Linked DNA regions of Macaca fascicularis. Each later gene encodes a partner of the first gene's protein in a complex. Links are inferred from orthologs where the notes say so. Each region holds a gene or a part of one and is shown in the gene's direction. Other genes may lie near its edges. The genes, in order: EID3, NSMCE1, SMC5, NSMCE3 and NSMCE2.

The links.
Region 2: EID3 (region 1) and NSMCE1 share a complex: the UniProt entries of both Homo sapiens proteins name them as parts of the SMC5-SMC6 complex. The link is inferred for Macaca fascicularis from reciprocal best matches to the Homo sapiens genes EID3 and NSMCE1.
Region 3: EID3 (region 1) and SMC5 share a complex: the UniProt entries of both Homo sapiens proteins name them as parts of the SMC5-SMC6 complex. The link is inferred for Macaca fascicularis from reciprocal best matches to the Homo sapiens genes EID3 and SMC5.
Region 4: EID3 (region 1) and NSMCE3 share a complex: the UniProt entries of both Homo sapiens proteins name them as parts of the SMC5-SMC6 complex. The link is inferred for Macaca fascicularis from reciprocal best matches to the Homo sapiens genes EID3 and NSMCE3.
Region 5: EID3 (region 1) and NSMCE2 share a complex: the UniProt entries of both Homo sapiens proteins name them as parts of the SMC5-SMC6 complex. The link is inferred for Macaca fascicularis from reciprocal best matches to the Homo sapiens genes EID3 and NSMCE2.

Annotation. Positions count from the first base shown.
Region 1 is NC_088385.1:111,236,422-111,241,432, forward strand, and holds EID3 (EP300-interacting inhibitor of differentiation 3), read left to right. Parts: upstream 1-1,597; 5' UTR 1,598-1,679; coding exon 1,680-2,795; 3' UTR 2,796-5,010; downstream 5,011-5,011. UniProt on the Homo sapiens protein: Tissue-specific component of the SMC5-SMC6 complex, a complex involved in repair of DNA double-strand breaks by homologous recombination.
Region 2 is NC_088394.1:26,348,378-26,353,130, reverse strand, and holds the start of NSMCE1 (non-structural maintenance of chromosomes element 1 homolog), read left to right. Parts: upstream 1-1,739; 5' UTR 1,740-2,349; intron 2,350-4,753. UniProt on the Homo sapiens protein: RING-type zinc finger-containing E3 ubiquitin ligase that assembles with melanoma antigen protein (MAGE) to catalyze the direct transfer of ubiquitin from E2 ubiquitin-conjugating enzyme to a specific substrate.
Region 3 is NC_088389.1:101,048,164-101,052,418, forward strand, and holds part of SMC5 (structural maintenance of chromosomes protein 5), read left to right. Parts: coding exon 1-73; intron 74-2,388; exon of another isoform or gene 2,389-2,414; coding exon 2,415-2,459; intron 2,460-2,880; coding exon 2,881-2,976; intron 2,977-3,431; coding exon 3,432-3,536; exon of another isoform or gene 3,537-3,540; intron 3,541-3,741; coding exon 3,742-3,861; intron 3,862-4,255. UniProt on the Homo sapiens protein: Core component of the SMC5-SMC6 complex, a complex involved in repair of DNA double-strand breaks by homologous recombination.
Region 4 is NC_088381.1:8,207,067-8,211,242, forward strand, and holds NSMCE3 (non-structural maintenance of chromosomes element 3 homolog), read left to right. Parts: upstream 1-1,479; 5' UTR 1,480-1,593; coding exon 1,594-2,493; 3' UTR 2,494-3,143; downstream 3,144-4,176. UniProt on the Homo sapiens protein: Component of the SMC5-SMC6 complex, a complex involved in repair of DNA double-strand breaks by homologous recombination. The complex may promote sister chromatid homologous recombination by recruiting the SMC1-SMC3 cohesin complex to double-strand breaks.
Region 5 is NC_088382.1:135,022,570-135,025,949, forward strand, and holds the end of NSMCE2 (E3 SUMO-protein ligase NSE2), read left to right. Parts: intron 1-2,309; coding exon 2,310-2,424; 3' UTR 2,425-2,659; downstream 2,660-3,380. UniProt on the Homo sapiens protein: E3 SUMO-protein ligase component of the SMC5-SMC6 complex, a complex involved in DNA double-strand break repair by homologous recombination. Is not be required for the stability of the complex.

The DNA of each region.
Region 1 (5,011 bases):
GTCTCAACTTACCTATCTCTCATTGTTTCTTTATTTCAGAAGAGGGATAAGAACTTTTTCTGAAGAGCAGTCAACTTTTCCTTTCAGTGTATAGGATTACTTCCACGAATCTGTGAACTTAATCTTTGCTGCCAAAAAACTTACAGTAGATGCTGGGACAGTTTTAAATCTATTTTAATTTATACATTCAGTACATAAGTGCATCCATGTAAAAACAGCTATGTTTGGAAGATGTAAAACCCAGCTTTTGTTTTTGAGAAGCCGACAATCTAATAGCATAGGATCATATATACGTACAACTAACCGTAATGCATGGTGTTTTGAAAAATGCATGTATTTCCCTGAATTACCCCTAGTTAATAAAATAATTGGGGGCAAATGGTAATATAAGGATTTTGGAGTAACTTAATACTACTAGATTTTGCTGTTTATGCATTTGCAAAAAACCTTCTGCTAATGCTAAATACGAACAAGTCTATCTGCATAAAGGATGGTAGGGCTAATTTACTTCCTGGTGCTGTGAAACTGGACAGGTGCAGTTGTGGGTGTCTTTTTTTTAAGGTGCACCTGCTGCAGGTTTGAAAAGCTGTTGATGCCCATGGTTTGGTTGTGTGCATGTTCTCTTTAAAAACCAGATGTATTAATTACAGTTGTTAAGTATACTTTGCTATTTGCTACTGGTGAGACAGATAAGCGGAGTCCTGTGGTTAACTGCACTTGAGTTTCCAGTGACCCCATTAAATCCAATGGGTAAATTTTCCAACGCAGATTAGTCACCCAGTTTACAGATTAAGCTTTCATATCCTTAGATTGTTTCTGAAATCTTCATAGCTTTGCTCACCTTTTAGGGTTCAGAGTTCTTACCCATTCAGTGTCGATGGCCGGCCTTTATATGTTGGCAAGCTTACAAGCAAATAGCTCTTTTGCAGAGATCTCTACCCATCATTCTATTCTTCCACTCCTGGATGGTGGAGAACCAAAGTTCACTTGAGTAATGCGAGCACTCAGTTTCCTGCAGGGGTTAGCACGCATACTGGAGGCTCCCCCGACCCCACAGATCTTCGGGATGGGGTGATGGAGGGGGTTTGGTTTTTAAAGAGGACCTGTGAAAGTAATTAACCCGATTTACATTTGTATAATAAGTCTAAACACCACCTTGCAAAAGAACTGAGAGTTCAGCCTGTTTAATGGAGTTTCTGCTTTTCACGGGCCTTGGCCTTACCGGCGGTTACAGTCCAGCCAGATTTAGTTCACAAAAAAACAAAACCCTCGGTCGACCTCACTGCGGTATATGATGGCAGCGATCGTTTTAAAGCGCAGGACCTTTAGTGTCCTCAACAGTTTTGTCTCAAGTTGTCCAAAAGTGTTTTTTTTAAAGTGAGGTGATCCAGTCGGTAAACGCTTTGAAAAAGAACAGCTGTGCCCTGAGCGGGCATAACTCGCGTTTGGGGTCGGGGCCCATTATTGCGCGTGTTCGGAGCGCGGCGCTTGCCTATGAGCGAGCGCCTCGGGTCGTGGTGCATCCGGGCCGGGGCGGGGCTGTCTTCCCGCGGAGCGTGCTGGGGGCGGGTCGCGCCGGGCCGGGCCGCTAATGCGCATGGGCGGGCGTCCGCGGCTCCAACTGCCGCCAGTTTCCACAAGCTGGGAGGGCCGTTACCTCGGAGATACCAGTGGCCGGCATGTCGGTTGAAAAAGCTTCCCGCAAGGGAGACGACGAGAAAGGAGAGGAGCAGCTCGTGCTCATCCCTAGTAGCGAGTACGCGGCGAAGCCGGCGGCGGCGGAGGGAGCGCCGATGAAGATGGATGTGGCGGTGAGGGTCACGGGCTGCTCCGACGACCTCAGCTCTGGGGATGCCGACATAGACCCAAAACTCCTGGAGCTCACCGCTGACGAGGAGAAGTGCCGCAGCATCCGCAGGCAGTACCGGCAGCTCATGTACTGCGTGCGGCAGAACCGGGAGGACATCGTGAACTCGGCGAACAACTCCTTGACCGAGGCTCTGGAGGAAGCCAACGTCCTGTTTGATGGAGTGAGCCGAACCAGAGAAGCAGCCCTCGACGCCCAGTTTCTTGTCATGGCTTCTGACTTGGGTAAAGAAAAGGCAAAGCAGTTAAACTCTGACCTGAACTTCTTTAATCAGTTAGCATTTTGTGACTTTCTGTTTCTGTTCGGGGGTCTGAATTGGATGGAAGGCGAGCCTGACGACTTGAGTGATTGTGATGATAACATAGCTCTTTCCTTCTGGAAGGCAATGGAAAAGGAAGCAACATCCTGGATGGTAAAAGCTGAGACATTCCATTTTGTTTTTGGTTCATTCAAACTAGAACCTTCTGCACCAAAGCCCCGACTTGAACACCAGAAAAAAGTTCGCAAGATGGAGGAAAATGGGAATATGCCTACAAAGTTGCGGAAGCTGGACCTGAGTAGTTATCCAGAAGCGACAGAAAAAAACGTAGAAAGGATTTTGGGATTGTTGCAAACCTACTTTCGAAAGTATCCTGATACTCCTGTGTCCTATTTTGAGTTTGTGATTGATCCAAACTCTTTTTCTCGTACTGTGGAGAATATATTTTATGTTTCTTTTATTGTAAGAGATGGTTTTGCAAGAATAAGGCTTGATGAAGACAGGCTGCCAATATTAGAGCCGATGAATGTTAACCAAATGGGTGAGGGAAATGATTCCAGTTGCCATGGTAGGAAACAGGGAGTCATATCTTTGACTTTACAGGAGTGGAAAAACATTGTGGCAGCTTTTGAAATTTCTGAGGCTATGATTACATACTCCTCATACTAAAGATTTCTTAGTATAGGATCCTTTTTGTGTGTTTTTCTGAAGTTATCTCAAATGGAGAGTCAAATGTAAACTGAAGCACATATTGTATGTCTTGTAAAGTGAAAAAGTATCTTCAAGAACATCAGACATTGTTTTACTGTGCAGCATATTTTTCTTAGTAATTTATAAGGTCATGATCTTCTCTTATTAAAAAAAATTCGTTGGCATATTTATGGGAGCGTTTTATTGAATGCCCTTTAAGACTATTAACAAAAACAAGTTTTGGATACCAAATTAAGGGATATTTGATAATTCGCAAAACATAATAATTTACGAAAATCAATTATGATGCTCTGTGATACATTGCTTTCTCTGTCATAGAGAACCAAGAGAATCCCAGAAAGAGTTCCTAACCACGTTGGGGAAAGAGTGGGTAAAAAACAAAAGTGGAAAAAAAAGCAAACAAACAACAACAACTTGTCTGTAAGGCAGTTAATATGCAACATTAAGAATAAAAAAGTCATTGCAAAGAAGACAGGATTTATGAGGGAGTATCCATATTCTCAACAGTTTCTGTTATTAGACTCAGCAAAAGTAGTGTCTCTGCTGTAGAAGTTGAGGTGTCAGCTAAGGGCTGAAAGTTGAGTAGAAACACGGAGAAGGAAAAGGCATTCTAGGCAGGAGAATAGCAAGGTCAAATGCATGGAATTGTTAGAAGTTAGGCACGAGAGGACCATTAGATTTATGGAAAAACTGTTCTATTTGATTGTTAAGCTGGGCAACAATTGAATAACTTCATCTATTAGTATCCTCAGAAGATATTTTTGTCTAACTATTATACGTTGAACACAAAATCTTTTGCTATCCAGTTGTAGTTTTTATCTACTGAATTTCTTCTCTGGCCCCTAGTGTCCCTTTGTGGTCTTTGTTAGTACATAGAATGTCCTTCAGAATCTGCACTGTTTCATCATGTAACAACTTTGAATATTTGTCCCACTTTAATTTTGCATTTTTATCTTTTTTTTTTCTTTGAGACAAGTGTCACTCTTGTTGCCCAGGCTGGGGTGCAGTGGAGCGATCTTGGCCCACTACAACCTCTGCCTCTGGGGTTCAGGCAATTCTTGTGCCTCAGCCTCCCAAGTAGCCGGGATTACAGGTGCGTGCCATCACACCTAGCAAATACCTGCCTCAGCCTCCCAAAGTGCTGGGATTACAAGTGTGAGCCAAATTTTGCATTTCTTAGTAGGGTTTTAAATGCCAGGAAACTGACCCTGCTTGAAACTAAAACATGTTAGTTTATCTAGATGTTCTTCACTTAGTGTAAAGCCATAAAGGCTTTTTTCTTTCTGTTGCTTGCAGTTGTTTTAAGAATATAAATTACAACCTTATTTGGAGATTATTGCCAAAAGTTTGGGTCATTAGGAAAACAACTTGAGAAGGTGCAGTAAGCATGCCCATAAACTTTCTTTCCTTTGATCCTTATAGGAGCTTAAGTTTTGGTAGTCGTGGAATTTTGCCATTAAACAATAATTTGGCAAATGTTTAGGCATCTGTTGTGCATAGCAGTGGCAAACTTTCCTAGTAAGTCTAGTAGTACAGGAAAGGGAAATCCAAAGACTCAACAAATGATACCAAGACTGAGAGGAAGGATCTTTCATGTATGGGGATGAGGTTCTTCACCAATAATACAGTAGTGGTTTTAGCAAAAATAGAACTTTCTTATGAAACTTGGCCAATTATTTTCTAAATTAGTTCCTCCTTTCACATACTAAAGAGCGCTCACCGTTGCTAGTGTCTAGTATCCTTTGATTTATAGTAGCAGTCATGGAAGTATCATTTGATCTCAGTAATCCTCATTTCCAGCATGTCTCTACCAACCAATTTCCTTGGGTTTTGCAGAGATCTGCTGTTGGAAGAAAAAGTACTCTTAATGACAGCAAACAGATCCCGCCCCGGTACTTTACTGACAATCAGTTGCTCTGTTGAATGCTTCGTGTCTTTACTAGGAGTATTTGACAGTGATGATTTAAAAGCATTAATAGATCATCTGGAGGCTTAGGAGAGGTAATTTTTTGGGTCTTCTCTAAAGCTAATAGCTGTTAAAATACGAAGTTGACCACTACTGTTTCTATTTGTACTGGTTGGCATGACACCAGTGAAATGATGAGGCGTGATGGATTGCCTCATCATTTTTGAAATTTTGAAATTAAAGTGACTGCTTACCTTGAAGCAAAAAG
Region 2 (4,753 bases), on another chromosome or scaffold:
TTACACTACTTAATACAATGTAAATGCTATATAAGTAGTTGCTATGCTGTATTGCTTTCAGAATTTGTATTATTTTTATTTTTGTATTGTTATTTTTATTGTTTTTCCTCCACAAATATTATCCATCCGTAGATGGGGAACCTATAAACAGGGATGGCTTACTATACTTTGTCCTGTGTCTTGGAGATACTGAGTTTAAGGCCCAGGATTCTATGTTGACCATCCAGCTCCAAAGCTCGAGGTTTTAATCACCACACACTACTGCTTTCCCACTTGGCAGATGAAACTGAAGCCCAGAGAGGTTAAGAAGTTGTCCAACATCAGGCCGGGCGCGGTGGCTCACGCCTGTAATCCCAGCACTTTGGGAAGCCGAGGCGGGCGGATCACGAGGTCAGGAGATGGAGACCATTCTGGCTAACACGGTGAAACCCCATCTCTACTAAAAATACAAAAATTAGCCAGGCGTGGTGGTGGGCGCCCGTAGTCCCAGCTACTTGGGAGGCTGAGGCAGGAGAATGGCGTGTGCCCGGGAGGCGGAGCTTGCAGTGAGCCGAGATGGCGCCACTGCATTACAGCCTGGGGGTCAGAGCGAGACTCCGTCTCAAAAAAAAAAAAAAAAAAAGGTTGTCCAAGATCACAGGGGTGGTGAGTGACCAAGCCTGTATTTGAGTTATCCTCACAGAGACAGACATTTGCAGGTACCGCTGTTCTATATTAGTTACCTGTTTCCCTTGCTAGGCTGCATCCCTAGCTCTCAGACTAGGGATAGTATACAAACGTTTGGAAAATTAATGCCTTGAAGATTCAAAACAGTCTATTCACTTCCAAGAGTAATTTCACTTGCTTTCTCACAATCCCTAGGTAAGATAATAGTTAACATTTAATCAGCACTCCCATGTGACACTTTTCAGTGGCTATGCTAAGCACCTAAATCTCACCAACACTATTTTGCAAGGACTAATATCCCCATTTAATGGAAGAGGAAACTGAGGCTCAATGACTTGCCCAAGCTTCTGCCAACTAGTAAGTGGCAGAGCCAGGATTCTAGCTCAGGCTGTATGACCACAGAGTCCACATTTTTCTTTTGTTTTTTATGAGACTAAGTCTTGCTCTGTCACCCAGGCTCGAGTGCTGTGATGCAATCTGGCTTACTGCAACCTCTGCCTCTCGGGTTCAAGCAATTCTCCTGCCTCAGCCTCCCGAGTAGCTGGGATTACAGGCACACACCACCACGCCCAGCTAATTTTTGTACTTTTAGTAGTGACGGGGGTTTCACCATGTTGGCAAAGTTGGTCTCGAACTCCTGAACTCAAGTGATCGGCCCGCCTTGGTCTCCCAAAGTGCTGGGCCTACAGGCATGAGCCACCGCGCCCGGCCAGAGTCCACATTTTTGACGACGAGGCCACACTGTCAGTTCCACAGATGGGGAAACTGAGGCCCGGGGCAGGGCACTACATTGTGCCGGCGGAATCGTGGCCAGTGGGGGAAGCACGGGCTGCGCGCCGATTCTTCCTCCTTGGTCAGGGAAGTCACTGAGGTGCAGGAGGCGGAGGGCGACAAGTGGAAGCCCCTTCCCATTATTAAGGATGGAGAGCGGCGCAGTAATTGGGATCTAACCCACGAGGCGGAAACACTAGGGAAACGGCGCAAACGGAAAGCCGGAAGTGCGTCACCCAACGGACGGGCGAATCGTTTGCAGGCCACCAACGGGAACGCCGCGTTCGCGTTCGCCCCGCCCCAAAGGAAGAAGAGTCCGCCTTGCGACCGTATCCGCTAGCGCAGCGCGGGTTGCGCTTGGGCACCCTGGTGGGTAACGCGGCGCGCTAGGGGGTAGAGGGGAAAGAAGAGGGACTTCGAGGAAGGCGAGGGGAGGACGGAAGGTGGGGTGGGCGAGACAGGCAGTGGGGTCTGGCCCCGTGGTCTATCCTCGTGGGCTGTGGAACTCGGGGACGGGGGTCTTGGGGCTCCCCCTTCTTGATGGGGAAACTGAGGCCCAGAGAGGGGCCGCAGAAGGCAGCGGACTGGGATCTCCTCCCACAACACACACAAAGACATCTAAAAATCGTACTATTTAGTGAAAAATATTTTTAATCGTAATTACGATTTAACAGGTAAGGATACTTTTCATCGTAATAGGTGAAAAAGCAAAATATAAAATTCGATTCAAACTGTGATTACATCTATGGAAAACACAGCCTTCGCCGACCACCCTGTCTGTCCCGCCGCCCTCCGTGCTCCCCTCTGTTTTTGTGTACGGAGTTTCTCACTTTGTACAAGTCCGCAGCCGCTTGTGTTACAGCCCCGAGGCCAGATGCGTTTAAAATCGAGGATTTCTCGGACTTTGGAAAGGTAAAGTGCGTATGTTCTATGTTAGGTTTCACCCTCAGTGGGGGCTGGAGCAGCGGCTTGCAATCAAATACACGACCCTTTCCACAGCTAAAGATATGAAGATATGCATATATTATATTGACCGGGTCGCGGTGGCTCAGGCCTGTAATCCCAGCACTTTGGGAGGCTGAGGCGGGCGAATCACCTGAGGTCCGGAGTTCCAGACCAGCCTGGCTAACATGGTGAAACCCCGCCTGTACTAAAAATACAAAAAATTAGCCGGGCGTGGTGGCGCGTGCCTGTACTACCAGCTACTCGGGAGGCTGAGGCGGGAGGCTGAGGCAGGAGAATCACTTGAACGAGGGAGGCGAAGGTTGTAGTGAGTCAGGATCGCGCCACTTCACTCCAGTTGGGGCAACAAGAGCGAAACTCCGTCTGAAAAAAAAAAAAGATATGCATATATTTACACTGTTGGGATAAATAACCATGGATAGCCCCACCTTAAGTCAGGTCAAGTTCTCCAACGTAAGAAACAAGTTTTGGTATTCAGACTTTTTTTTTCCCCTGCGTCCGATCATCCACTAGTATTCATACCTTTTTAGATTTGAGGGTTGCAGATGAGGGACCTGGATTGTAGCTGTTCTGTTCACTCACTTTTCTCACTCTCGCTGGATAAGAGAGTGTCTTTGAGAACAGGAACCGTGCTGTTGTATGGTCACGTCTCTCTCTGCCACCAACTCTTGTGTGTCACCTTGTGCCCTTTTAGTCTCAGTTTCCTCATCTGTAAGATGGGGTCAGTGATCCTTTGCTCATAAGGTGCTGGTTGGGGTTAAATGATGTCGTGCATGTGAAGCACAAGAATTGTGTTAGCACCTGCACGAATGGTATGACTGAGATTTACTTATTCCACAAACATTTATATTTCAAAATTATTAAATTTAAATAAATTTATTATTAAATGAATTAAATGCATTAATTAATTAAAAGTATAGATGTATTTCTTAAAATGTGGGTGATAGGAATTTTAAAGATTTATATAATGCTTCAAAGCCTTAGAAAAGGTTTTCTTTAGTTGGTTTATCTGTATATCTGAACTCTTGAAACTTAAAGCTAAAATACTAGGATTTATCTGCAGGGTTGCAGAGAGATAATTCTGCCTTAAATTGTCTAAAACAAAAACAAAACAAGACAATATGTTATACATGGGATTAAAACCAATTTTTCTCCCATTTTTTCTCCTTTTTTCTTTTGCTGCCCACATTGTGCCTTTATTTTATGAGCCCCATTTTTCTGGGCTTAGTTAAAAAAAAAAATTCAATTCTAAACGTTGAATTTAGGGAGTTTTTGTTCTTAAATAAAAAGGCATAGACTTAAAAAAAATAAATGTTTATCCAGGAAAATATATTGAAATCATGCTGCTGAGCCTCTATTTTCTTTGATGTTTTGGTTCGGTATTCTTTTATCATAAATTCTTAGCATTTAAAAATTTACTGATGTACATTTAAAGCCAATAAACTTTTAATTAATACAAATATATATATATATATATATATTTTTTTTTGTGATGGAGTCTCACCCTGTCACCCAGGCTGGAGTGCAGTGGCGCGATCTTGGCTCACTGCAACCTCCAGCTCCTGGGTTCAAGCGATTCTCCTGCCTCAGCCTCCTGAGCAGCTGGGATTACAGGCGTGCACCACCATGCCTGGCTAATTTTTGTATAAAATAGAATTATTTAAGTAGGTGATACATGTATGTCTATGGCTAATCCCACCATTCTCTCCACAGTCTCTTCTCATAGAGACAAGGGATACAATATGCATAAACAAACTTATGGTTGTCTTTCTTCCACTCCTACTTTCCCGCCCCTTTTCCACCAAATCATAGCATTCAATCGTATCTTGTTCTCATTCTCATTTACATTTATTTTGGCTGTTATTTAACATATTCATGTTACTTTTTTTTTTTTTTTGTGGAGAGTGGATCTTGCTATGTTGCCTAGGCTGGTCCTAAAGTCCTGGTCTCAAGCAGTCCCCCCACCTTGACCTCCCAAAGTATTGAGATTACAGGTGTGAATCACCATGCCCGGCCCATCACATTTAAAAACATTGTATGTAACATACCTATACAATTGTGTGGAAGTATAAGTTTGAAGGACAAAAATGAAATGAACGCTCATGTACCTGCCACCAAGTTAAGAAATAGACATTTTCAGATCCCCAAACCCCCCACTGAATCCTTTCTTCCCTCCTCAAAGATAACTACCACTCTGAATATTGTGTTACTTGTTCCTTTGTTTTGCTTTGTAGTTTTTGCGATGTATGTTCGTATCTCTAATGAATATAATGTATGCTTTTGCTGAGTTCGATTTTATATGATAGGATCCTAAAATATATTTTGTGTGACTTGCTTCTTGCACTTAACGTTA
Region 3 (4,255 bases), on another chromosome or scaffold:
GGAACTTATGAAGAGAGCTAGGCAAGTATGTAACCTGGGTGCAGAGCAGACTCTTCCTCAAGAATACCAGACAGTAAGTATAAAAAGTATATAATGCTACAATTGCCATATTTAACATATTTTTAAGATTATAGGATCTTAAGCATTGTAACAGGCCATGAAAAATATGATGTGTCATAAAAAATAGGGAGTTTTTCCACATTTTTAAACTGAATAGATATATAAAATAATGTTGCTTAACAGATCAATGTTATTGGTACTATAACATTTATTCTTCCAATACAAATGCCTTTTAATGGGTACAGTTGGAACATACAGTTTTCCATGGAAATATTGTGCCAGTAATTGGTATATCAGAAATAACAAATAGGACATTTTAAAAATAAAGGGAAAATGAAAATGTTTCCCCGGAAATTGGGGTGTTTAATTAGGGTTCAATGGGAGCTGAATATTTAGGACTAACATCTGCCAATAAGAAAAGGAAAAAAAGAGGTCTTACTTCCATTATATGTTTTATGCTGACATACCACTCAGTAAAATTAGGAGATGCTGCCCTTTAGTCACATCCCACTGTTAATTTACATACCTCTGTGACAAGTGGGGATGATACTTTGCCTGCATACCTATTCAGAATAATGTCAAAATGAAATTATAAAATAAATTTTAAAATATCTAGTATTGGTGTGTCTTTTTAAAATTCTTAATTTCAAATGTTATCTATTTCAATAGATAATGAAATGACTACTAAAGATATAAACAACTGGAAAAAAATTAATGGATTATAATTTTCAAATCCTCAACTGATTTATTTTATGATATCAGACACAGAATCACAGAGAATGGATTCGACTATTTGGATACATACTAGGAACTCAGTAGATATCTTTAAAACAAATTGAGAAGCTTATTTCTAAAAACAGTAGAATATCTTCAGAATACATTGTGTTGTTATAAAATAAATATAAGTACAATCTGTACTAATTTTTTCTTTCAGAAAAAGCATGATTCTGTTCTTGATAAGTCATACTGTTTTTGAATCAAAATTAGAAGATGATTAATCATTAAAATGTATTAATTACCTCCTATATGGCAAGCATTGAACAAGACAGACATACTTCCATCTCAGCTGAAACTTATATTCTAGTCTGGAAGATTAGGTAGATGAAAACACAAATCAAAAATCAGATAATGTCAGATAACAAGAAATGCTAAGAAAAATAAAACAGGGTGAGGAGATGGAGTGACATGGATGGGAACTTGGTAAGGGAAGCCTCCTTTGAAAAGATACCATTTTATAACAGTCCTGAATGAAGAGAACAGATCAGTCAAGTGAAGATGTGAGGGAAAAGTATTCCAGACAGAGAAAACAACTTAGACAAAGCCCAGAACAGAAGTATGTTTGGGACATTTCAGAATAAAAGGAATCTCATTGGGGTTAAAAATTATCCAAGCAGAGAAGAAGGCAGAGGCCAAGATTATGTAGGGCTTTTAGACCATACAAGGAATTAAGGTTGTATTCTTTTGGGATGGACTCCAGTGGAGGATCTTAAACAGAAAAGTGACATTACTACTTTTATGAAAGAGCACTCTTAACTTCTGTTCTTCTAGATGGAGGATAAAGTAGGGATACAAGAATGGAAGCAATGAAACCATTTAGGAGGTCATTTCTTTGGACCACGCAAGAGATATATAATGGCATGAATTAGGGTGATAGCACTGAAGAGAGAGAGGGAGAAGTTGACAGATCTTAGATATCTTTTAGTGACAGAGCCAGCAAGACTTGCTGATGGATTTGACATGAAGGATAAGAGAGAGAACCCCTAAATTTTTCACCCGAACAAATTACGGTGCTATTTACTGGAATGGAGAAGATTGAAGGAGAAACAGGGTTGCTTGAAGTGGTAGGTAAGGTGGGTGAAATCCAGATTCTGTTTCACCATCTTAAATTTAAGATGCCTGTTAGAGTCAAGTGAGGATATCGAGTAAATAAATGTTGGACACATGAGCTTAAATCTCAGTGAGTACGTCAGAGATTCAACAAAGGAATATTTGAAGGTCTATAGAAGTTGAACTGCTTTCTAAGAGGTTAAAATAATAAGCTGAAGATATTAGATTAATATGTCAAGATCTTTTTCAGGGTTTCAGGATTCATTTTGTACCATGTAGTATACAGCCTTTGCAGGTCGTGCTAAGTCAAACAATGTAATTGTTTGCCTCCCCTCAAAAAAAAAAGTGTCTGTTCTAATTTGTCCCCATGGCATGGACTCAGAAGATAGTACCGTGGTGAAATTCAACTGTCAAAGTAATTAGATACTAAGGATGCTTTTTTAGTTCTTCATAAGTGCAGTATAAAGTTCTAACTTCTTGCTCTCTTTCAATGCCCCACATATTCTGGACCCATTCTACCAATTCAGCAAGTACCCACCATTCCAAATGGACACAACTCCTCACTCCCCATGGTATGCAGTACTCATTCTTTTTTCCCAAGCTCCTGTCTTCCCTCTGCCTTGCTCCTCCCTAGCCATTTGCTTTAAGGCCCAGAGATGAATTCTAGGCCTTTGGATTCTCTTAACTCTCCTATAGCATGAACTGATACTTCTTTTCTCTAAATTCCCTAGCCTATAAGATATGTACTGCTTGTTTGAATACTCAACATCAATACGTTGCCTTAAGGTGTTATCCAGTACATACATTTTGTTTTCTTTAAAATACAAACTTTCGAAGGCAAATGACCCTGTTTATTATTCCTTTGTATCCTTGTGTACCAGCATGCTGTAGAACAGATAGTAGATAACTTATTCAGCAGATTATTTTTCTTTTAACTATTTGAATGGAACCGTTTTCATTGTATCTATAATGATGGGCAATTTTTTTCTTTAGGTTTTCCAAGACCTTCCAAACACATTGGATGAAATTGATGCTTTATTAACTGAAGAAAGATCAAGAGCTTCCTGCTTCACGGGACTGAATCCTACAGTATGCCTGTTTCTCTACTCCCATTCTGCATCCAGCCACCACCACCACCACCCTCCCCATACACACACATACACACACAGAGTTCCCTCCAGTACTTGCCTCCCACTCTGTACTAGAGCTCTTGGTAATGATAAGCTAGACAGCAGGAACAATGTGCTTTAAATGCCAGATTCTGAATCTATTAGAATTTTAAATAGATTCTTCCTAAGGAACACAATGTTCTGTGCCTTTTCTTTATAAAAAGAATAGTCGGGCTAACCTGAAATACTGCAATGTCTAGTTTTTCAAGGATAAAAAATGTCACTTTCAGTATGTAATAAGAACATAAATTATTTGCATACAAACAATACAGCACAATTGCCATTTTCAGTTAATGTTTTAATCAATGCAAAATTGTATATACTTTTATACTTTGGTAGATTTATCTTAAAGAAGTTTTTTTTTCCCCCTGCCAGATTGTTCAGGAGTATACAAAAAGAGAAGAAGAAATAGAGCAGTTAACTGAGGAACTAAAGGGAAAGAAAGTTGAACTAGATCAATACAGGGAAAACATTTCACAGGTAATTTTTTTAGTTTTTAATCTTTACTTTTTATCATGTGATTATTAATGAAATGGGAATGTAGAATAATGGAAAATGAGATGACATGCTTAAGAGAAGTGTGTTATGCCCAGACTGATACTGATATAAAATTTACGTGAAATTTTGTGTCACAATATAGTAATACTGCTTTTAAATTATGTTTTTATATTGTGTTTATTTGTAGGTAAAAGAAAGGTGGCTTAATCCTTTAAAAGAGCTGGTAGAAAAAATTAATGAAAAATTCAGCAATTTTTTTAGTTCTATGCAGTGTGCTGGTGAAGTTGATCTCCATACAGAAAATGAGGTAAAATTGCATTTGAAATATATTTCTGGCAAGTAATTTTAATTATATGCTTAAAGTACATATAAATTATTTATTTACTTTAGAGTTATATCTGTGAAAAGTTTTGTTTACCAAAATGTTGAAAGAAAGGAGAAAATCACCTATGGGATTCTATTAGGGTCACTTTTTTTGGTGGGGGGTGATGTTTGGAATTAGTAACTAATACCTTGTAACTCTTTTTATACAATCTGAGTAATGGTTATTCAGTTGTATTGAATAAATATGTTACTTTATAAAGCTACCACAACTGGAGTTAGAAGACTCATAAACAGATTAGTTTGAAATATAGTATATATCAGTGTCTTTTTTTAATAATTTAAGAATTCATGGTTGGGTGTGGTGGCTCACGCCTGTA
Region 4 (4,176 bases), on another chromosome or scaffold:
GCAGATGAATTTTCTCATTGTAAAAAAATGAATACCTTGATAATATATTTGTTTTTCGTAGTAGGCCTTTGTCATTAAGCTTGATGCCTGAGGATATAGTTGTATCTTGTGTGGAACAGTAAGTTATTACTCACTGCGTATCAGATTTTAGCATACTTGCATTAGTTCATGGAATATGATTTTACATTTACTATAGCAGTTCCAGTGCCATTATCAGATTGCATTTTCCTACTGAATTACAAACAAATGTGTTATGCTACTAACATTTAACAAAATTTTAATAAGGTTGTGTTTGATGCTATTATTCAGATAATGTGTTCTAAATTGCTTTCCTTTGAATATATTTGCATTAAAGAGGAACTCGATTTGGTTCTTTGAAGAGTTTATCCACTTTCTGGGTAGCTTTAAAAAGACACAGGGAAATTCAGTTTCTTCTTTGCAAGTCAATAAATAGAGAAGAAACAAATTTGCTAAGATCTGTAGAAGTAATGGCAGCAGATTGCTGATGGTTTGAGTTAATGAAATGACTCATTTTGGCTACTTGAGTTGCACAATTAAAATATACATAGACTGCACACATCATAGATGAGGGATAAATACCCCTGTGTTCTCTTTTCTTTCTCAAAGCTAATATATTATGAATTAAGAAATTTAAGAGATCCACATTATTGCAATTCTTGATCAGTGATGCCCAAAATTAAGTGGTAATCTCTTGAGAGTGCACGTTTGCAGCATTCCTCTTACGCATTTCTGCTAAAATTGTGGCTGTGAGCTGAAGGCAGTTGTTTTCCAAAGGATAAACTCATTTGACCAAGCTAAAACATTTACTTAATATTGACAAATTTTGTGGGGTTTTCTCATAGTTGTCTAGCTAAAGGAGTTTAATGCAGAGAATACACATACGGAAATAGTGAAACCGAAGTCCTGCTTGCGCGGAAAGCCTGCAGCAGACTTTTGTTTTTAACAAACTCCACGGGGCATTAGAGAAAGTAACTGGGGGCAGTGGGTTGGAGGGTATAAAATTGAGCGGAGGGACGAAAACTAAGAGCCCTCTGGGTTTTTTATATCCTTCTACATGTTGTGTAGAAATAAATGCTTTTACTTCCACGGTCGTACCTTCCTCTTCACCTTTTTTTTTTTCTTTCTCACACATTCATCCTGTGAGATCTTTTCATTTACAAATGCTCCCGATTTAGAATTAGAAACTCATAATACCGTCTGTAAAACTTGCCTGAGCCTGTCTGGTCCTGAATTTAGCGACACACTTGTTTAGGAGTTTCGGTTCTCGTTCTCTGCTTGCATGGTTTAGTAAGAACAACACTTCGCTATACTGAAATTCACCGACCAGACCTGCAGGGCTGCACAGAAATCTCGGATGCTTTTGGTACCCCCAGCCCCGCAGCCGCGCAGGCGCACCGCCCAGCCGCCGTGACGCAAGGCGCAGGCTTCATGACGCGGCACGCAGTCTCAGCCGACACTGCGCGCCCCTTCTGGGGCCCCGCCCAGGCAGCGGCCTTAGCGGGTCGCCGACCCGCGATCCCAGCCGCGGCTGCTTGCTTGCCGGAGTGTGCACCGGTACGCGTCGCCGGTGACATGTTGCAAAAACCGAGGAACCGGGGTCGCTCTGGCGGCCAGGCCGAGAGGGACAGCGACTGGAGCCGTGGCGGAAACTCCGGGGCCTCGCGGGCGGGCGAACACGCCCGGGCCCGCAGAGACGGCTTCGCAGAGGAGGCCCCGAGCACTTCCCGGGGGCCGGGCGGCTCGCAGGGGTCGCAGGGCGCCCGCCGGTCCCAGGCCTCCCCCGCCGTGGGCCCCAGGACCCAGAAGCAGCAGGAGCTGAAAGTGTCCGAGCTGGTGCAGTTCTTACTGATTAAGGACCAGAAGAAGATTCCGATCAAGCGGGCCGACATACTGAAGCACGTCATCGGGGACTACAAGGACATCTTCCCCGACCTCCTCAAACGGGCCGCCGAGCGCCTCCAGTACGTCTTCGGTTATAAGCTGGTGGAACTTGAACCCAAGAGCAACACTTACATCCTCATCAACACCCTGGAGCCGGTGGAGGAGGATGCCGAGGTGAGGGGTGACCAAGGCACGCCCACTACGGGCCTCCTGATGATCGTCCTGGGGCTCATCTTTATGAAGGGCAACACCGTCAAGGAGACTGAAGTCTGGGACTTTCTGCGGCGCTTAGGGGTCTACCCCACCAAGAAGCATTTCATTTTCGGAGATCCAAAGAAACTCATTACCGAGGACTTTGTGCGACAACGTTACCTGGAATACCGGCGGATACCCCACACCGACCCCGTGGACTACGAGTTCCAGTGGGGCCCGCGAACCAACCTGGAAACCAGCAAGATGAAAGTTCTTAAGTTTGTGGCCAAAGTCCATAATCAAGACCCCAAGGACTGGCCAGCGCAGTACTGTGAGGCGTTGGCAGATGAGGAGAACAGGGCCAGACCTCAGCCCAGTGGCTCAGCCCCATCCTCTTGAAATCTGAGGTGGATTCAGAGGGACCCCCGGGACAAGGGTCTGAGACCCAAAGGCACAGTGCAGAGGAGCGGGGGAAGGGAGAACGAACCCAGGAAGCGTATTTCTGTAGCGTTTCAATGTGTGTAGCTTTAGGATGTGTTTGCAAAGTTTTGTTCTTTTAATGTTGTGTTATTTGGTTCCAGATTTTCATCTATAAACAAAGGAGCATTTGTTTTGCTTTGATTTTACTTTTTTTGGTATAAAAAATTTTCCTAGCTTAGTAAAACGAATTGGAAAACTTGACTATGATCTGAAACAGATATGCCAGAAGGAACACATAAGTAAGTTGCTTTGGTGCCAAGAAAATAAAAAAGTAGCTATTATCGGGTCTCTTAAGCATCCCAGTTTGTAAGGAAAAATAAAAGTCTTTATAAAATTAAAAATAAAAACGTAATTGCCTATATCCTTATTACCTTAACCTATTTTATTTTTTCTATATTTCCTACATATGTAAGTATTATTCATGGTTCCAAGCAATGAACGTGGTGTATTTTCTCCAAATAGCAATTGTTTATATTCATAATTACTCAGCTGTGTTGCTAAACATGCAGTTCCACTTAGTTTTTTTTACATGCTACTCTAGTTATTACAATAAATACTGTATTTTTGAAGCACTGAAGCATTGTGTGTTTTTTAAATCGTGGGCCATGAGACAATTTCATGACGAAATCAGCGTCTTAAAGTTTTTGCAACATATTGAGGTCAATGTTGTTTTGTAGAAGTTGTTTTACTTTTGTGTGTGTGTGTACAGGATCATGAGGTAAAATATATTTCTACTGTGGATACCAAAAAGGCTTATAAAACAATAGCGTAACCATTAACCATGCCTGCTTGGGAATCAGACTGCCTGGGTTCAGATCCTGGCCCCACCGTCACTAGTATAGGAATTTACGTAGGTTCCTTAGTTTGTATGCAGATGTTTCTTGACCTGTAAAATGGGTTTAGTCCCTGATGTGGAGGAATTTGCTTGTTATTCTTTAATGTTTTTATTTTTTATTCTCGGTCTGGAGCTGCCACTTTTTAAATACAACTTTTCTTTATCTTGTTTTCCAAATGATTCCTAGGAGAGCAATTACTGGTTCAAAAGGTATATTCCGCTAGTCTGACTCTATTGTATGGGGAAATAAGTATAAAGTGTATGGTGAGTATAGCCCACATAGAACAGTGAGAGCAGGACATAAGATCAACCTCGTAGGGAGTTAGGTATAGGGAAAAGGTGTGGGTCTTGGGGCTGTCTGGCAAACTGAATTTGAATTACGGCTCATGCTAACTTGTCAGCATGGTGATATGGTGGTAGGTTTTAAGCTGTCTGAATCTCAGTTTCTTTACCTGTAAAATGAAAAAAAATTATAGCTATATAATAGTTTGTTTTATGGACTAGATGAACTAGAAGAGTTCATAGTCCCATTGTATTCCTCCATTACATGTAGCAGATGCTGTTTTTAATGCAGAGATTCAACACGTTTTATTCAGTGGGTAAATAAGTATAATTGTTTTAGGGGGAGGTGCTGCAAATTAACCTTGAAATAAGGCAGATATTTTTCACTCGGGGGGGAAAAAGTGAACTTCATCAACACTGGACTGAATGTCATTTAAAAGAGTCTATAGTGAGTATGGAGGAATGTGATAGGTTGCTGGGTTTTA
Region 5 (3,380 bases), on another chromosome or scaffold:
TCACCATGTTGGCCAGGCTGGTCTCAAACTCCTGAGCTCATGTGATCCACCTGCCTCGGCCTCCCAAAGTGCTGAAATTACAGGTGTGAGCCACCGTGCCTGGCCATATTTTAATATTTTAAAAATAAATATTGTTATTAAGCATATTATTTATTTCATTGATTAATGCCAATCTAATGTAAAGACTCCTTGATCCACAGATCAGGGCCAAGAAATACTTTCTCTTTCATGTTGGACTGTTGGGCTTCCTACCACTAAACAAATTGGAGTTCCCATGACCAACTTTCTTTCCTTCTCTTTTGCATCTTTAGTGTGGTTTGCATATTTGTTGTTTTTGGTCTTAATATCCTGTGCTTTATGGAGAGCTGTCTCAGATCACTGGGCCAGAGCTCTGTGTGGACAGGAACCATATATTTGTATTTCACAGTTGCATGCTTAGAACCTAGCACAGGACTGATCCCTAGAAGAATCAATTAATGCATGAATGGGTACATGCCTGTGTTGGATATATGCAAGGTAGAAATAGATCCAGAACTTTAAAACTTCTTGGAAGAATGATGATGAGGGAACACATGATAGTCACGGGATCAGGAAGGGAATTAACATCATTGAGCACTGTGTTGCCTGTCACCTTGGGAAATAGGGGTTCTCTCCCCATTTTAAATCAGAGGCAAGAGAGGCTCAAGAAGGTTATTGTGAATTGCCTGTGGTCTCATAACTAGCAAGTAGGTGGTAGAGAGAAAATTCAGACCTAGATTAGCTTGACTCCAAACATTGGGCCTCTAATCTACCAAAATTTGGTTCACTTTGAGAACCAGATTCTTTGAGAAGAAATAGGTGATGTCATCCAGCCCACTGCCCTCAGAGCAGATCACATGGAAGCAGAGCCGTGGCTTGTTTCCACCCCTTTCTGGGTGACTCACACTGGTGTCTTCAGCTGCAGCCTTTCCACTGAGTCTCAGTGGTCCACTCAGTCTCTTCTGGGAGAGCTACTGGGCATCCGTTCCAGAGGAAACAGATACCAACCAGGACTGTGGCTCTGTGCTGCAGCCTGTTTTGCCCCATCATTTCCCACTGTGATAAAGGGCACTACCAGTCACTGATCTGCCCAGATGAAGCTCGCTTCTTCCCTTTCCCTTACACTCCACAGCCGCTCCGTTGACAAGTCCTACAGGTTCTATGGTCAAGCGTGTCCTGAAGCTGATCGCCATGCCACCCTCGACCAAGCTGCCCTCACCTCTCTCCTGTACCCTGCGGGATCCCCCACGCTATTTTCCCTGCCCCTCTCTTACCTCCCTGCTTTGTGTTCTCCATAAGCAGCCAGAGTAACATTTTCCAGATGTAAACCAAACACACCCCTCCCCCATCTCAAAACCTTCCAGTGTTTTGTCTTCATATTTAAAATAAAATCCAATCTAGGCGGTGGCTCACACCTGTAATCCCAGTACTTTGGGAGGCCAAGGGAGGTGGATCACTTGAGGTCAGGAGTTTGAGACCAGCCTGGCCAACATGGTGAAACCCCGTGTCTACTGAAAATACACAAAATTAGCCAGGCATTGTGGCAGGCGCCTGTAATCCCAGCAACTCGGGAGGCTGAGGCAGGAGAATCACTTGAACCCAAGAGGCAGAGGTTGCAGTGAGCCAAGATCACGCCACTGCACTCCAGCCTGGGTGAAAGAGTGAGACTCTGTCTCAAAATAAATAAATTAAATTAAATAAAATCCAAAGCCCCATTGGCCCACTGACCTCACTTCCAACTGCTCTCCCTCTTGTCTGGGTCGCTTCAGCCACATAGAGCTTGCTCTCACTCCAGGGCACCAAGCTGGACGTCCTCAGCACTGTACTCGCTACTGCTTTAGCCCGGACCACATGCAGACTTGTTCCCATGCTTCATTCTGGGTCCTGCCCAAGATGAGATGTGTTTGGTGAGGCATGCCCTGAGTCCAGCCAAAGCAGCCATGGCCCCAGCACTGTCTCTTCTTGACCCTGCTTTGTTGCCCTCATAGCCCATAAGGTGACCTGAACTTACAGCAAGCATTTATTTGGTTCGCTAGTGGTAGCCTGTCTTTCTCATTAGAAAGTTAGCTCTTAATAAGATAGGCACTACTCACATATCGCTTGTGTCCCCAGCATCTGGACAGGACCTGGCTCAGGTAGGGACTCAGCAAATCAATGAATGAGGGCACCTTGGTCCTGACTTTAACACTTTTCCTTTTTCGTTAGAAGTCTTACTTAAACACTTGAGTGTAAAAGAAGTTTCTGCTTAAGGCAGTAAAGGGGACTGACTTGATGTTCTTTCTCCCTTGCAGTTGCCCTAAAATTGGCTGTAGCCACACGAATGTAAGAAAGTCGGATCTCATCCAGGATGAAGCACTTAGAAGGGCGATTGAGAACCACAACAAGAGAATACATCATTCCGAATAGGAAAAGCCACCTGCCCGCAGGGACACCAGCAGCCTACCTCCTACCTCAGCCGTCTGTTGAGAGCAGTGCTGGCCCCAGCAGTTAGGGACTGGCTGCATAGCATACTTGTTTGGGGTAAAACTTGATGCTTTTATGTGTGCTTGAAAACATTTTTCTAAGTTACACAACAGAAATGCAAGCATATTGTTTATTTTTAAGTGTTCTATAATGTTAAATAAAACTTTGATCATCTGCAGTGTCCTCCCTGCACGCCTCCTGATGTAGGGATTGTTCCAGAGGTGCAGGCTTTTCCATTTCAAGGACATCAGATTGATTTTTATAATAGTTTTGGCTAAAGAATGTTTTTCAGCCAGGTGCAGTGGCTCATACCTGTAATCCCAGCACTTTGGGAAGCCAAGGTGGGCAGATCACTTGAGGTCAGGAGTTCAAGACCAGCCTGGGCAACATGGTGACACTCCGTCTCTACCAAAAATACAAAAATTAGCCAGGTGTGGTGGTGCGCACCTGTAATCCTAGCTACTCAGGAGGCTGAGGCAGGAGAATCAGTTGAACCCAGGAGGTGGAGATTGCAATGAGCCGAGATCACACCACTGCACTCCAGCCTGAGCAACAGAGCAAGACTCTATCTCAAAATAAATAAATAAATAAATAAATAAATAAATAAAAAGAATGTCTTTCAAGTGATATTTGAAATTAAAACATATAAAAAAACACCCATTGCAAGGCATTTTCTGTAAGTATAGTAAATAATAGCATTTGGTTATAAAGCAAAGTCAGTTTACTTTCTTGTATTATATTGTATATTGACAGTTCCAAACATATAAATGCTTTTATTGTCATTCTGAATGGAATAGAATGCTCCAGTGACTGGCTAATCAGTGCATTGCAGTGATGATTGATGCCTGTAATGAAAACTTTGCTGCAGCCCTCCAAGAACCTAAAGTACCATCAACAGT